2 linked regions of the Oreochromis niloticus genome follow. The protein of the gene in region 1 interacts with the protein of each later gene in a pairwise test. Links are inferred from orthologs where the notes say so. Each region holds a gene or a part of one and is shown on either strand. Other genes may lie near its edges.

What was found. The genes of interacting proteins can lie anywhere in the genome.
Region 2: the proteins of tepsin (region 1) and ap4b1 interact in binary tests that used the Homo sapiens proteins (3 or more experiments, as listed by UniProt). The link is inferred for Oreochromis niloticus from reciprocal best matches to the Homo sapiens genes TEPSIN and AP4B1.

What each region holds. Positions count from the first base shown.
Region 1 is NC_031973.2:20,314,273-20,321,444, reverse strand, and holds the start of tepsin (AP-4 complex accessory subunit Tepsin), read left to right. Parts: upstream 1-3,824; 5' UTR 3,825-3,956; coding exon 3,957-3,995; intron 3,996-4,236; exon of another isoform or gene 4,237-4,291; coding exon 4,292-4,364; intron 4,365-4,634; coding exon 4,635-4,726; intron 4,727-4,834; coding exon 4,835-4,928; intron 4,929-5,021; coding exon 5,022-5,089; intron 5,090-5,194; coding exon 5,195-5,276; intron 5,277-5,626; coding exon 5,627-5,698; intron 5,699-5,775; coding exon 5,776-5,967; intron 5,968-6,096; coding exon 6,097-6,280; intron 6,281-6,725; coding exon 6,726-6,839; intron 6,840-7,165; coding exon 7,166-7,172. Other genes in the region: slc38a10 (putative sodium-coupled neutral amino acid transporter 10), read left to right, coding at 146-286, 400-1,670; ndufaf8 (NADH dehydrogenase [ubiquinone] 1 alpha subcomplex assembly factor 8), read right to left, coding at 2,809-2,829, 2,920-3,030, 3,452-3,532. UniProt on the Homo sapiens protein: Associates with the adapter-like complex 4 (AP-4) and may therefore play a role in vesicular trafficking of proteins at the trans-Golgi network.
Region 2 is NC_031984.2:33,205,915-33,213,759, reverse strand, and holds the start of ap4b1 (AP-4 complex subunit beta-1), read right to left. Parts: upstream 3,272-7,845; 5' UTR 3,037-3,271; coding exon 2,864-3,036; intron 115-2,863; coding exon 1-114.

The DNA.
Region 1 (7,172 bases):
TAGATTATTAACTGTTTCCTGTCTGCCCCCCTCACCCCCAGAGTCTGGCCCTAGTTTTATTAAGCCTCCTAACTAATGCCCTGTTCTCTGAGCAGGTCGTTACTTATTTTAATTAAATGTTTTTGTATGGTTTGTTTCCATGTAGAGGGTCAGCTGGACCACGCGGTGCTTCTGCAGGTCATTAAGGAGCAACAAGAACAACAGAAAAGGCTTCTGGACCAACAGGAAAAACTATTGGCTGTCATAGAAGAACAACACAAGGAAATCCACCAGAAACAACCTGCTGGTGTGTGTATATACCCATTTTTTTTCTTTTTGTAGTCATGACAACTTGTAAAGAAAACACAGCTATTATAGGTGGTGGCCCTCAACTTAAATGTGATATTTTTGCATTTAAAGGGGGCGCTGCTGAAGGCGATGGTGAGAAAGTCATCCAAGGACAACCAGAGATGATGGAAGGTGGAGCAGCAAAACCTAAGGAGTCTGGACTGGAGCAGTCCAAGGAGGGAGCTGGAGCTCCACAGGATGGCGGAAATGAGGCTCATGCTCTGGCCCAGGGTCAAGCTCAGGTTGAAGATAAAGGTGCTGAAGCTAACCCTGCAAAAGTAGCCGTACCAGCAGCTTACAAAGAGGATGCAAATGTTGCACTCGCAGGAGAATCACATAAGGAAAGTGAGGTTGGGGCGAGGGGAGTGCCATTGGGAAAGCAAAAACTTGAACCTGTGGCTCAGAATGACCATGCAGCCCAGTTACAAGAAGAAGAGGCAATTGAAAAACTTAAGAAAGAAGTGGTAGGCAAAGAAGATCAAGGAAAAGAACAGCTGGAGAGGGAAATAAAGGAAAAGCTCGCCAGAGAAGAGGAGTTGGAGAGGGAAAGATCAGAGAGAGAAAGGATAGAGAAAGAAGTTCAGGCAAGATTAGAAAAAGAACGGCTAGAAATGGAGAGAAAAGAAAAGGAAAGGTTGGAGAAAGAAAGGATAGAAAAGGAAAGACAGGAAATGGTGGCCAAACAAGAGTTGGAGAGGGAGAAGATAGAGAAAGAAGTTCGAGAAAGGCTGGTAAAAGAACGACTGGAAAGGGAAATAAAAGAGAATCTGATCAGAGAGCAAGAGCTTGAGAAAGAAAAAGCATTAAAAGAGAAACTTGCACGCGACAAAGCTGCAAAAGAGCGATACGAGCAAGAGCTGCAGAAAGCGGACAATGAAATACTTGAGAAAGCAAAGAAAGAGGCGGCATTGCAGGAGGCTCAGGAGAGGCTGCTTCAGCTGCAGCAGGCCATAGAAGCTCAAAATGCTGGAAAAGCTGCACAGGGGGGCGAGAGAGTTGATGGTGAGGCTTTGAAGAAAGGAGGACGAGACCTCAAAGAGAACGCTGCTGCTCAGCCAGAACCCGGAGAAGGGGAGGAAGATGGCGAGGTTCACCCCCAGGGCTCCCACGAGAAGGTTAGGAAGCAGGGAGAGATAGATCTGAAGCGGAGGCGTAGGTCACTCGGAGAGGCTAGAGGGCCCCTGGAGGACACTGAGGCGTCCAGGGGGGTTCCAGGGTTGGAGCCCCTGCTGGAGCTGGGGGGGCCAGATCTGCACGCAGCCCTTGAGGGGCAGCTACTGGCTGGGGCAAGGGTACACACACGGCAGATTAAACAGGCCTCAGAGGATGAAGAAGCTAAATAACACACACACATTCTTATTTAGCGGTCAAACACATACTGTAGACCTGCAGAACCTCCTAATACTGTGGACCGTGATATCGCTGCCTTATATTCTCTTTTGCCTTCAGAGTTGTTAAGAAGTGGACCGTGTTGTTTTTCTTGATACTGTGTAATCTGCCAGGAACCCAAAGTCTTTATCAAAGCAAAAGTGTATGTAAATATTAACTTATTTTTGTTTCCAGAGAAAATTTTGAAAAGGTCAAACGGTTTAAAAAGGTTTAACGTGTATATACATCTATGCAATTACCTTTCTGTGGAGCGTTTTTGACAGGAACGATATTCGTATTTGAGTCACATGTACTCCTTTGGTCATTCAGTTGTTCCTTGGTCTTTGTAAATGTTGTAAATGCTTTTAAATGTGATCCATGTATTTTCTTATAGAACCCGGTTACCCCAAATTTAATGTACTGTGGCTTCAGGCCCCTTGATAGTGTTTTTGCTTCATGCTTTCAAAATGAGGTATTTAACTACACGCTGGAGTTTTGAGATATAGAGTAGCCTTACTATTTCCATAAACTGTGGACAACAGAGCAGCTCAAACCAGACAACCTGGATCAATACCTGTAGTTTCTAATCATTCCATCTTTATTCCTAGTATTTCTTCCAGGTTGATTTATTAGTGCCTTCCACTTAACATACTACAGCCTATATTTTATTCAAACAAAATGTGCAGTTTTTCCCCTCAATATCTGGTCTTTTTCTTCCACTAAATGATCTTATTTGAAGATATAATAATGGAAGGTATTTTGGACTTCTGTATTGTCTTTCATTGGCTAGCACTTCAACACATTGGACCTTTGCTTTATAAAAGAGGCTATTTTTGTGACTATTTTTCTACATGCATGTTATTTCTGTACATTTTGCTGATAAAAATTAATAAAGCTCATATATCGAAACATCAAAGTCAGGGTTTTATTTATTTATTTATTTATTTATTTATTTATTTACACACAGACACACACAGGTTTTCACGTTAAAGACTATGGCAGTTCTTAATGGCTTATCTCAACCACACCGACATGAAAAACTGTTCCCAGCATCAAAAGTCAGTCAACTCGGTCTTCTTGAGATTGGTCCAGATAAGCCTGGATGAATTCCATTCATCTGGCTCTTTTTTTGGCCTGTAATAAAAAACAAATATATAAATAGGTAAATGGATAGCATTAAACAGATCTCCTTTCAGTGTGACAGTTGCTGACACTGGCACTTACTGCATTGGTAAAGCAGATCTTCAGTGCTTCAAACTCTTTGGCACACAGATCCTTCCTCAGCTCCTGTGTGCCTGTTGTGGTAGCAGCTACACACTTTCCATACACTGCTGCCTGAATAACACAAATTAAAACTTCACAGGAAGCACATTTGTCCATGTAATAAATAACTGCATTACTTTAATTATTTGGACCAATGTTTTATTAACAAATTTCCACTGTTTTGTTTATTAAGAACTGGCACATTAACTTTATTGCCAACAATTCACCAGAAGCTAAACCATGCTCTAATATGTTAATTAGTAACCTACATCCTGAGATAATAAAGTGCACGGCAGCACGTGTATATTGTTAAAAGCTTAAATGAGGAAATATTTTGGATGTCCCCTACTGGGAGCTGCTGTAGAGATGGCAGCTGGCTTTGATGGGAGAGGCAGATAAGTATAATCATATTTAATGAGAAGAAGAGAGGTTCCAGAGTTGAACCCGTTCAAAGGATAATCTACCAAGCAGTATTTTCCCATCCTGTACTTACCTCGTTCGCACACTGTGCAAAAAGTTCCGGGAAAAGTCTCATTTTCTCCCTAGTGCGACTCCAGACATTTGACCCAGACATGCTGCTGCTCAGGCGTAAATAGATTTGTTTTAATATCTGGTAAATTTTTTTAAGTCAACGATTAAAAAAAGAAGCAGCAATATTTTCGTGTCAAGTTCTTAAAATCTCTGACAACTCAAAAGAACCGAAATTATTTTTATATCAACTAACAGACGGCGCTCCGGTGAAAACCCTGTGCAGCGCCATGTTGACGACTGTCTACGCCCATAAAAATCCTGAACTATGATTCGTTCATTTCCTTGTCAGTCAAACCGTTTCTGACGGTTGATTTGTTATCTTTTACCTCCTGGTTTAACCAGAACGCCAATAGAGTCGAGGATTGCTGCTTAGTGTTTTGTTATTGGCTAGCGGTCACCTCAAACCCCGCCTTTCTGTCGTACGCCTCGAAGGAAGATGAGTAACCCGCAGCTGGGACTGCTAAATCATGGCAACATTTATGGAACGATTAGCCTTTCTTCAGAAAGTAAGTAATATCGACAGTCGTTATTTTTAAAAAAAGAACACAGAGAAGCCAAAACGAACATGTTAAATGTCACGTAGCGTTGACGTACTTATTTAAATCTATTAGCTTTTGCGAAACCATAGCTTTCTTTTAGCCTGCTAGCTAACAACCTTAACCAACATCTTTTGGCTTTTTACTTTCTGTGTTTCACTGGACGTGTCAGGTTGTTTCGTTAAAACTTAATGCTGCACACTGGTTTAAGGGTCAGTTTGCGGTCAACTGAAGTGGTAAACCACAATTTCGTCTAACTATCCAAGGTGCCCACCCTGATGAAGGCTACAGCAGATGATGAAAACCCCTGTCCTGGCTACCTTTTCCAGGAGATTGGAAGTATCCTTTAGTTGCTTCTGCTGTTGATCTGCAAAAAGTTCCTACTCCTGCTGGCCTCTTTTGCATGTTAGGGCTGTATAAGTAGGCTGTGGCCATGACTTTACATAGTCACTGATGGATACATACCTTGAACATGGCTATGATAGGTTAAAATGATATTTTTCTGTGTGTGAAGTGTGTTATCAGTCAAATGTTTATACCCACTGAACCATGGGAATAGTAATTCCTGTATGATGAAGTGTTATAACCTTAATTCTAAGCACACTGTAGAAATCTCCCATGAGTCTTCAGGTTGTGGTCAGTGTTTGTTGGAATACCTCCTGGAGAGGCTACAAGTGGAGTCCTGTCATGTCAAACTGAAGGTGAGAGAATTGCTTTTGCTACTGTTTCTGTCTCTTTAAAGGACCTGTACATTGCTGATTGCAGTTTATGAGTAAGTGTGGGTTCTGTTCTTGCTTCTGGTGTATCAGGTGCTGAAGATCTTTGTCCACCTCTGTGGTCATGGGTCCAACCATTTCCTCACAGAACTCAGAAGGAACTCCACCTTCATCCAGCAAGCATCCGGTTAGACTTTTCTCATTTGTGCTTTCAACTTTCATTATTTTGCTGCTGGCATCGTTCATAAATATTCACTTTGGGTAATTTTTATTCGATAAGTTTACAGCGGCCCTCCTGATCCCATCCATGGCACAGCATTATATGAGAAAGTGAGGAATACAGCACAGGTACAACACGGGTTGTTTTGTATTTTCATCTCAATATAGTCAGTTATACAGAAATGGAAGGTAGCTTGAATAAGAACTTTTTTTTCGTTGTTCATCCATTTACAGGAAGTGGCCCGCTTACTTTTCACAGATGTCATTCCCTCCAAAAACAGCATTTCTTCACTTAATCTTGCCCCACCGACAATGGGTAAGTGCTAACACACATTGATTATGACCATAAACGGCACTCATCTTTAAAAGATGGGCAGGCGGCCGGGCGACGTGGACACCCAAGTTTGTGAAAGTGATAACTCAAAAACGAATTAGAAAGTATAATTTTCCTAATCAAAGATATAAGCTTTAAAGACTTAGGAACCCAAATATATGTACTACATCCTGTATGCCAAACTATTGTACATCACTTTGCTACCAGGTTTGACTTTAGCTCCATGTAATAAACAAGTAATAGAAGAGAATGGGTATCTGTAGATGGGATGAAAGAAGTAGTCATTGAATTGCATTGTGTGTACAATAGTTAATTTGTTTCATTCTATTTAGGTATGGGATCGGCCACTTCCCACAGATCAGGAATGCAGGGTTTTGGATACAGTCCAAGAAAGCAGGGGACAGGTGAGGGAAGCAGAGCTGCACAGTACATACAAATCAAACTTACTGCGTGTGTAAATTTCTGGACCTGTGCCTTCCAGCAGGCAGCGACTCACTTCTGGATAAGATTCAGAAAGCAGCTGAGGTGGTGGCGAGCGCTGTCCTTCCCCCTACTGAGCATCAGGGGATCCGTCTCCATGACAACCATTACCGGGCCGTGGTGGCGCCTTCTGCACCCATAGAAGTGGCCGTGCCAGCGTGTGCCTATAATCTGCCTGCTTGTAGACCGAAAGGTCAGAAATGAAGCTGGCACAATTACGCATTTTATTGAGGCAAGATTGAGAGAAAGTATAAACTGAAGCCTTAGTAGCGAACAGATGTTTATAAATTAAGGTTTTCCTCATGTGTCTTCACTTCACCAGTGACTAAGTGGTGCCCTGGGCAGGTAGGAGGTGGCTGGGAAGAGACGGACAGTGGCAACAGCTCCTCTCACAACTCCTCTCAGGACATCGCTGCCAATAGCAGGGCGTCGGTGGGCAGCAAGTCAGCTGGCACAGGAAGCCAATCAGGGACCAGCAGAGAGAGCAGTGGGGACCTATCAGATCGGTCAGTGTCAAAAACGTTTAACCTTTTTAACACATCATGCACTCGAGTCTTTTTTTTTCTTTTTAATGCATTAGCTGAGAGCAGGTACTGGATTTTAAACAGACTTTACCCAATGCCTGTACAGTGACAGTGCATATCTCCTGTTGTGTGACACACAAGAAAAGGAAACCTCAGAAAATTGTTCATGTTTGAAGATGGTTTTAGTTTGTTAAACCAACTGTTTTCATTCCAGTGCAGTCACATTCAGGAGCTTGTAGCATAATCTCCAAATGTTCTGTGTGCAGTTTGTGTAGTTTAATGTTTACTGGTCACTTAAGAATAAAATTCTTGCCAGGATTGTTAGTTTTTCTATGCAATAAGTCATGTTCCTGAGCATTATAAGCACAAAAAACCTGTGTTTTCTTCAAGTTTGTTACTTTCCTCTCATACTTTGTGTGGTTTCCAGGGTGGAGGCCTTGCAGCTAGGGGATTGTGGTCAGGAGATGGCACTCATCAATAAACTGACTGAAGGCTCCAAAGTTTTCCTTTCCAGAGAGGAGAGCCAACACTTCATCAAAGAGTCAGTGCACCAAAATCGCATTGAAAACACAACAGCCTGGGCTGGTTCTTTTCTATGAGCTGGTTTCTCATTTTTAATTAGTTTTTTATTAAACTTCTGATTGTATTCAGTTGCCTTTTTTTAATATTATTAATTGAGCTTTTTCATTTTATTACACACACATATATATATATATATATATATATATATATATATATATATATATATATATATATATATATATATAGTATTTTTTTTTATTGGTTGTTTTGGTTTCTGTGATGCAGTTGGGAATTGTGTCACAATTTCAGTGTTTTTTTTCTTCTTCTTTTTTTAAACTCTGTCAGGTGCTCC
Region 2 (7,845 bases), on another chromosome or scaffold:
GCATAGGAACACAGGAAGACATAAACCAATTTCTTCTGGACTACATCTACTGTGGCACAGGCTTTCACCATCTCACTGAACAGGCCAGACACATCTACACCTTGTGACATGGTCCTGAAATGGAAGGGGAAGTAGAAGGGGGACATATAAACAAGAAGAAAGACAAAAGCGGGAATGAATAAAGAGGGGACAGTCAGAGTTGAAATAGAGAAAGAAAGATTAGAGGAAAAGGAATAATGGGGAAAGAGACACATGGAAATGATAGGACACAGGAAAACATTTTAACATGACGTTTAACAAAAATATTCTTCTTACTAACAAAACTTTGTCAGTGCCCAGATATTTAAAAGAACGTGTGACTGCAGAGAAGAATATTTCTGCAGGCTTCTTGAAAGAGATCCAAAGCTCTTCTTTGGAAGCTGGTTGCCTTTTGTTCTGTTCTCTACCAAGATGATCCCCCACTGCTTCAATAATATTCAGGTCTGGGCTCTAGGGAGGCAAGAGCACCATTGTGGGTTTTTCTCTTTAGGTTTGTTTTTACTGCATTGGTACTCTGTTTGGAATCATTGCCGTGCTGACAAACAGATCCACTGACAATCAGATGCTTTTGCACAGTAGATCAAATCTGACAGTACTTTTCTGTCTTCATCAGTTCTTGTTCTGTCATGCTCCCCAACACACCGGCTGAAATCCAGCCCCAAACCACCAGAGCCTCCACCATGTTTTCAGACACCATTCAACTGCTGTAGACAGTGTTTCTTAAGCCTGCCACTTCTTCTTTTGTCCTCAGTTTCTTTAGGGGCAGCCTGCACATCATTTTGAGATAGTTTTAGGCTAATAGTTTTAACCTCATTAGAGCAAAAATACTATTTCATGTCTTTCAAACTGAATTACTGTTGGCATTTCTGTAAATTTAACAGAAGAAATTGGACCAAATTATGTATTTTTGCAAAGCTGCTAGTAACAAAGAGCCTAAATAATACAAAGAATACAAAACACAAATTAGGTCTTTGCTAAGTTGTCTGTTATGTGTAGACACAATCCCTTGAGTTAGGCATCTTTTTATGCTTTAATGCTTCATTCATAAGTTAGTGATAAGTGTATAAAACAAACAACAAACACCCCTCTGAAAACAGTCAGGTACAAGGACTGGACTGGAAATGAGTAAAGAAGAAGTTGAGGTCTAAAGAAACACTTTAAAAAAACCTTGTGAAATATTGTTTAAAAAAAAAAAACATACAAGAAAGTCTGGGTCCTGAAAGCAAAATATAAAGAAACGAGGGGTGGCTCAAGACTTTGCACAGTACTGTATATCTTCATATAGTGACTTAATTTTCTTTTTAATGTTGCCCAGTGTTTAATATCAACATTCATTACTGGAAAAAAATAAGTTCACTTTAAACCTTCAGCTTACGTCTTTCCTTCAAATAATCTACTGCTTCATAGTGAAAACAGGATGATAAGCCCCCAGTCAGCAGTGATGTTAGTGAGATGTCACTAGTCCTTGCTGGTCTTAAGCCATTGAAACAAAGGGGAGTATTAGTCAAAACAACAGAATGTTACTACTGAGGGGTACGATTAGGACCTAGGAGCTGTTTAATCCTTATATGTTCACTTTCCTTTCCAACATTGTTCATATAAAAGGCGAATGGAACTTTGGGTCTTAACAATGAAGCCAATGTAAAAAAGAGCCGTGTTTTCCTGGGTCCATCTCCTGACAGCCTTCCATTTTGATGTTTCTCGGGGGAAACGTATTTTTCATGATCCTCAAATTGTATTTGAATAACTAGAACTAGATAACTAGTAAGTTTTATGTGTTTGTTTAATGTTACCTAACTTGCCACATTGTCTGTAATATGTAGTCTACACCAGTGTTTCACAAACTGAATACAGTTTTAACGCATCTGTTAACACAACCCGATTAAAAGTGGGTGTAGGCAGCTAATCTCTGCGATGGCACATCTTGGATGTTAAATTAAGCAGCTCACTGTTTTTTCTGTTGTTTCAACACTTCAGCTCTCTTTCCTTCAAAGACACAGCAAAGAGAGAGACTTTAAAAAACACACAAAAATGAATCATAGTGAGTCGAGCCACATGTGGAACTGTTCAATTGGGTGTAAAATGAATTTCATCAATTTGAGCTTCCACAATAAATAATCAAAATGTTAACAACGCTGACAACAATTTGCAACCATTTTCACTGCGATTATCTCATTTTCTTTTTATTCACAGTTAGATGCTTATGACTCGTCAGCAGTTGGAAGAATGTACTGAGACAAGTGTGCAGGGACTGTATCTCGATTTGTTAAACTTCATTACTGAGAATGTCTGTTCACATATCAAGCTAGATCCGAAGAGAACCAGCATCTTCTGAGTATGTCTCCTTATGTGTGGAAAGTTTCAAAGATGAGCAACCTGCTCTCCACCAGGTAAGCACACAGCATTACCTCTGATTTTAATAAATAACCTCTGAATAGAATACTGAATAGAAGTCAATGTCTAATAAAAGACTGCCAAACTCTTATCTCTCATAAACGTGGAATCTGCACATTTACAATGAAGCTGATTTCCTTATGCACACATATGCACGTAAATCTACAACAATAGCAGTCATCTTCAGAACCAACAAAGCTTTATTGTAATTTCCCATAAAAATTATGTCACTCTTTCGTATTTCCAGTTAGCTGCTAGCTAACACCTGCTTTTACAGTGACAATTAACTTAAATTGCATGGGGGATGGGGTGGGGTGGTAAGCAGGTTCTCAAAAGCAAATGTGTGCCCCGGGCCCCCTTTGACAGATGAATGCGGCCTTGCAGACAAACCGCAGCGCCTGGTGGCTGAGCACAGGGATGAGATGAGTACCTGATCACTTTGAGGATGGTGTTCCTGTACCGCAGCGGGTCTGACTGGACGTTAGGGTTGGACAGAGCTCTTCTCAGCTCCCTGACCGTCTCCTCCCCACCCAGATAAGGCATGGTGGCTAAGAGACAGAAAATATAATTCTGCTTGTCAGTAACAAGCAGGTCCAACTGCATCTCTGGTTGGTGGTTTGACAACACAGCCGGTGACCCAGCGTTCAGCCGATGAGATAAAACGCAAACCTTTTATATGACCCAGCAACACACGAACTTGCTAATTTTAAGAGCATTACCGTTTAGCACTTCGAAGGACGAAGTTCATCCGTAACAACACAACAAAAATGACTAGAATATTTACTCCCTCTACACGTCCGCATTTCTTCTTCATCGTTGTTTTTCTCGGTTTAATCCCACGCTGCTCTCTGCTGGCTGGCGTGAGTATAGCACGACAAAGGCAATACTCGCCCAGATCTGATACTTTGTTTATATTTCGGTGGAAAATGTTGCACTTTACTCCAATTACTCCATCTGACAGTGGTTGTTAGTCGTGTGCAGACCGACATAGGGTACAGTCTTATAGATTTAACTGCCCAGAGCAGAGCTGGATTAACCCACTGCAGGCACCCAAGAAACTGTTGACTTTCAGTGACCCTTGTTACATTCTTTCTTTGAGCATAGTGTTGCTTAAAACAGAAAAGTAAATACATACAGCAAAAAAGATCAAATTTGTAGACCCAACAACCAACTATTAAACTAAATGATCTTTCAGGTCCCTGGATATATATATAACCTTTATTTAACCAGGAAAAGTCCCATTGAGATTAAGAACCTCTTTTTCAAGGGAGTCCTGGCCAAGAGGCGACAACACCAGCCTGGATGTCTGGGACCATACAGTCCTTTTCTACTCTTGGCCGATAATGAGACTTTATATAACATAAGAATAAACTCAAATAATTATGACAAGACTGCTATAATCAAAAGAAAATAATTTTTTTAATCATGCACATGGATGTTGGTCCATATGCATACGTGGAAAGTCAGAAGCTAGGAGAGTAGCAGCAAGAGTTCAGTTCCTTTACATTAAACATTAAATTGTAGAAGTTTTCCTATTGAAACTGATATATCCCATGATGCTGATGCTCAAAGTTGGTTATGGAAAAAATGGGGAAAACAATATGATTTTGACTCAATATTGTTACATTTTGCTTCAAATTGATTTGGTTGAAATTACAGAAAACATGTGATGCATCTCTTCCGTCCAGAACATTTCATCTTCGTTTTATCCTGCACTGATGTTTATGCAGGATCAAAAATGGTGGCACAAATAAGGTGATTTAAAATTAACCAAAATTCAACCTACTCCTGTGTACTTATTCTTGTGTTGTCCGGGGAGGGACTCACTGATTTCCATGGAAATCCCTCAGACAGCATCAGGTTTACATGCAAACACACAGGGATCAGCTATCTTTACACAGATCACTTTGGTAACCCAGTGTAAATCAGGCCGTATGCCGCCATAACATTCTGCACACGTAGCCATTTGAAGATGACAAAATCCAGAATTTAACTGAAAAACCGTTAGCAGTGCTTTTGCATATATTGATCCACCCAGTAGATCAATACTACTCTATTTACTCCAGGTAGGTCTCAGTGGATTTTTTTTTGTCTTCCACAACAAGATCATGCTAAATGAGGCACATGCCCCATTTAGCATGATCTTGACTGAAGAAACCAAAACAAACAGTGAACGTGTGTGTGTCAGTCCCCCAAAGTAAAATGGGTCAACGGTCTTAATCTCAAAATGCTGGAGTAGCTATTAATCTAGAAATGAATATTATTTGAGAGGAACATTTGTGAGCTTGGACAATGTCTGAATGTCCAAGTCAACACCAGTGATGGAGCAGCTGTCTGAGCAGCTTAATGTTACAAATATACTAGCAAGCAGGATGACTGATGCTAACAACATGGCAGTACAGTCCTGACATGACTGGTGTATGCTTGTATTAAACATGACCGAAGGTTCAAATAATGAACTCATTGTATGTACTAATCCCTGTGAGGCAAAAGATCAGGCTTCAGACTGCCCCAAACCCCTTAAAATGTTATTCTTAGCACTTTTCAGTGAACTTTGTGTAAAAATGAAAATGTGCCTTACACTACAGTTGCATAAGACCCAAACAGCACTTTGGTCTAAATTGATGATGGGTTTATTTGATTGTGAAAAGCAAAAGATCTACAAACACAGACAGCACTAGACCTCCAGCACTGAAAGTCCAATCCCTGATCCAGAGACAAACATCCACTCTGCCCGGCCCTGCTGGTTGGGTTTTGAAAGACAGAGCTTCATTAACAAGGAAGGGCGGACTTTGTGCTTGGGCGGTCAGTCGACTGTCAATCCAGGTGGACAATCTGAACACAGCCCAACGGGTCCCAAAGGAAGCTGCTCAAACCTTCCTCTGGATGGTGTGGGCAGTGCCAGGTTCCAGGAGTGACACATCATTTCTTTTCCACATTAAACCGTCACCAAATTAACACATTTAATGTTAGCCATCCATCCTAAAATAAATCACCCGAATCCAACCATAACACACACACACACACACACACACACACACACACACACACACACACATCTCATTATTTGCTACTTTGGGCAAGTATGATTCAGTATTTTTCCTTTTTATAGAACTGAAACTAATTTTCCAGAAGCTGTTTATGATTTTGATAAATCATATAAAACAAGTTTTCTATATGAAAGGCAACAGGGAAAAATAATGGTGAGAGAGGCAGTACAGCATTGTGCCCTGAAGTTACAACATGAAACATGAGAAGTACACCATGTTTTCGCAGCTTCTTCTAAAGCTGGAGATGGATGCTGCCTGTGGTCCATTTCCTCTCTCAGTGGATCACATGACACTGGGTTTCTTCTGTGCACTGTCAACTTTTTGACAGAAAAGGTAGATGGGATGAACAACAATTAATACACACATAGACACACTCATTCTCTCTCGCACACACACACACCAGAACAGTATCAGAGGGTGACAGTGTCTATGACACATTGGGGCTTGGGTCAGGGCTGGTGGAGCTGTTTTCCTGATTTGCTGCCTGGCTTCCTCGGGGTGGAACCTCAATAATGCGGGGTTTGTCAATGATGCGAGCATGGCGGTCGCCTTTCTCCACGATACCAATAATCCATGCCCCGCCCACCGCCCCCTGACCCCCTGCTCCAGAGCTGAGGTTTTTCATCTCTGAACAGAACTTGGCTGCCTGCTCTCTGGGCAGACACACCAGCAGCCCACCTGGAGAAGAGGGGGGAGAAGGGATGTGAGTTCCTAGCTTTAAATACTGCATTTATTCAAATATAACCACGTTTAATGTCACCGGTCATACCGGAAGTCTCAGCTGAAGTGCCCTGAAGCAGGTTAAACAGGTTTCCGCAGGCTTTACTGATGGCAGCCATCTTGGCTATGATTGGAAGGTTATGGATAACGAAGGCCACCTCGTTTTGCTGCTGTCTTGCCAGGTTGTTGGCGTGACCCAACAAGCCGAAACCAGTCACGTCTGTGGCAGCGTGGGCCTGGTACTTGTGCATTAGACCTGCCGCTGGAGGCAAAATGTGAATGAGCCAGAGTAAAACCACAAGAAAGAAAAGGGAAAATAAATTAATCAATAACAGCTGATATAAAGTCTGCCAACTGTAATTTAAACATTATTTAATTAAATAGTTAACTAATAATACACTTGCATGACCACTAATGACTGCAGAGCTTAATCAAAGTAGTGTACCTGTGCGGTTAAGGGTTGCCATGGAAAACATAGCTTCCTGATAGGCCTCTATAACTTCCTCTTTGGTGACGACCAGCTTGATCTTGTTCCACTTTTCAGGCTGGTAAAACAAAAACAGCAACAAGAACATTAATCTTCAAAGCCCAGGTTGGTTGTTTCATGAGCAATCCAGTGCTTCTATACATTTCTACATGCACAATAACCCACACACGGCAGCTGTGAACCTTTTCAGGAAGGAGAACTGTCAGCAAACAAAACATTTTCTTGTTACATGGACACGAACACTGTCAGCAGTCTTGGGCGTTTCATTAAAGCACTGGAGCAATTTTAGCTCATGTGACCAGTAAGTAACCAATAAGTATTGTCTTTCTTGTAAACATTTTTTCAAATGTATCGACATGCAATTCTCACCAGATATTGTCAACCACCCATCCAATTCACACAAGCAAAGAAATCAAACCATAGATGTCCATAAACTAGGTTATATGTAAAAATTAGAAATGACACAGGGTACTGAACATGTGATGAAAGGGAGGTACAAAAGGGCATGGGAACTCCTGATACCAGCTGAAATCTACCAGTAACTAGACAGCAATTCCGCCACTTAGTGCCAATTAATATCATAGTGTGGCGCTGTTTACAGCATACGGCGCTAGCACGCTTCATATAACACTGAAGGAAGGATGAATGGAAAAATGTACTGAGACATTCGTGATAAAAGTCTGCTGCCATCTACCAGGATGATGACGATGAAACGAGGGTGATGTTTCAGCAAGACAATGATCCCAAACATGCAGACAAGGAAACTCAATTGGTTTCCTGTGGCAACATTGCACTTAATATTTCTGTGAACAGAGTTGAATGGCTAACCTGATCAATCCACAGATAAGCGTTTACAGCCACCCGAGTGCCCAAAGGTTTAGTCAGCACCAAAACGTCACCTGGTACAGCCCCATCAGGCCTGGAAAATAAAACGTAAACGTAAAACATGTAAATCTTTGCATTTTGTGAATCATAACTTTTCATAATGCGTTTTGCATTATGAAAAGTTGCTCTTTGTTTCTTTGTCTTCACAGGCATCTCTGCTAACGAGGCACTAGCAGAACTTTTATTGTTCATCAGAATTTTATTGCTGATGAACAATAAAAGTTAGTCACACCCAGAATATTGCAGCTGTAAGAGATAAGAATGCAGGGC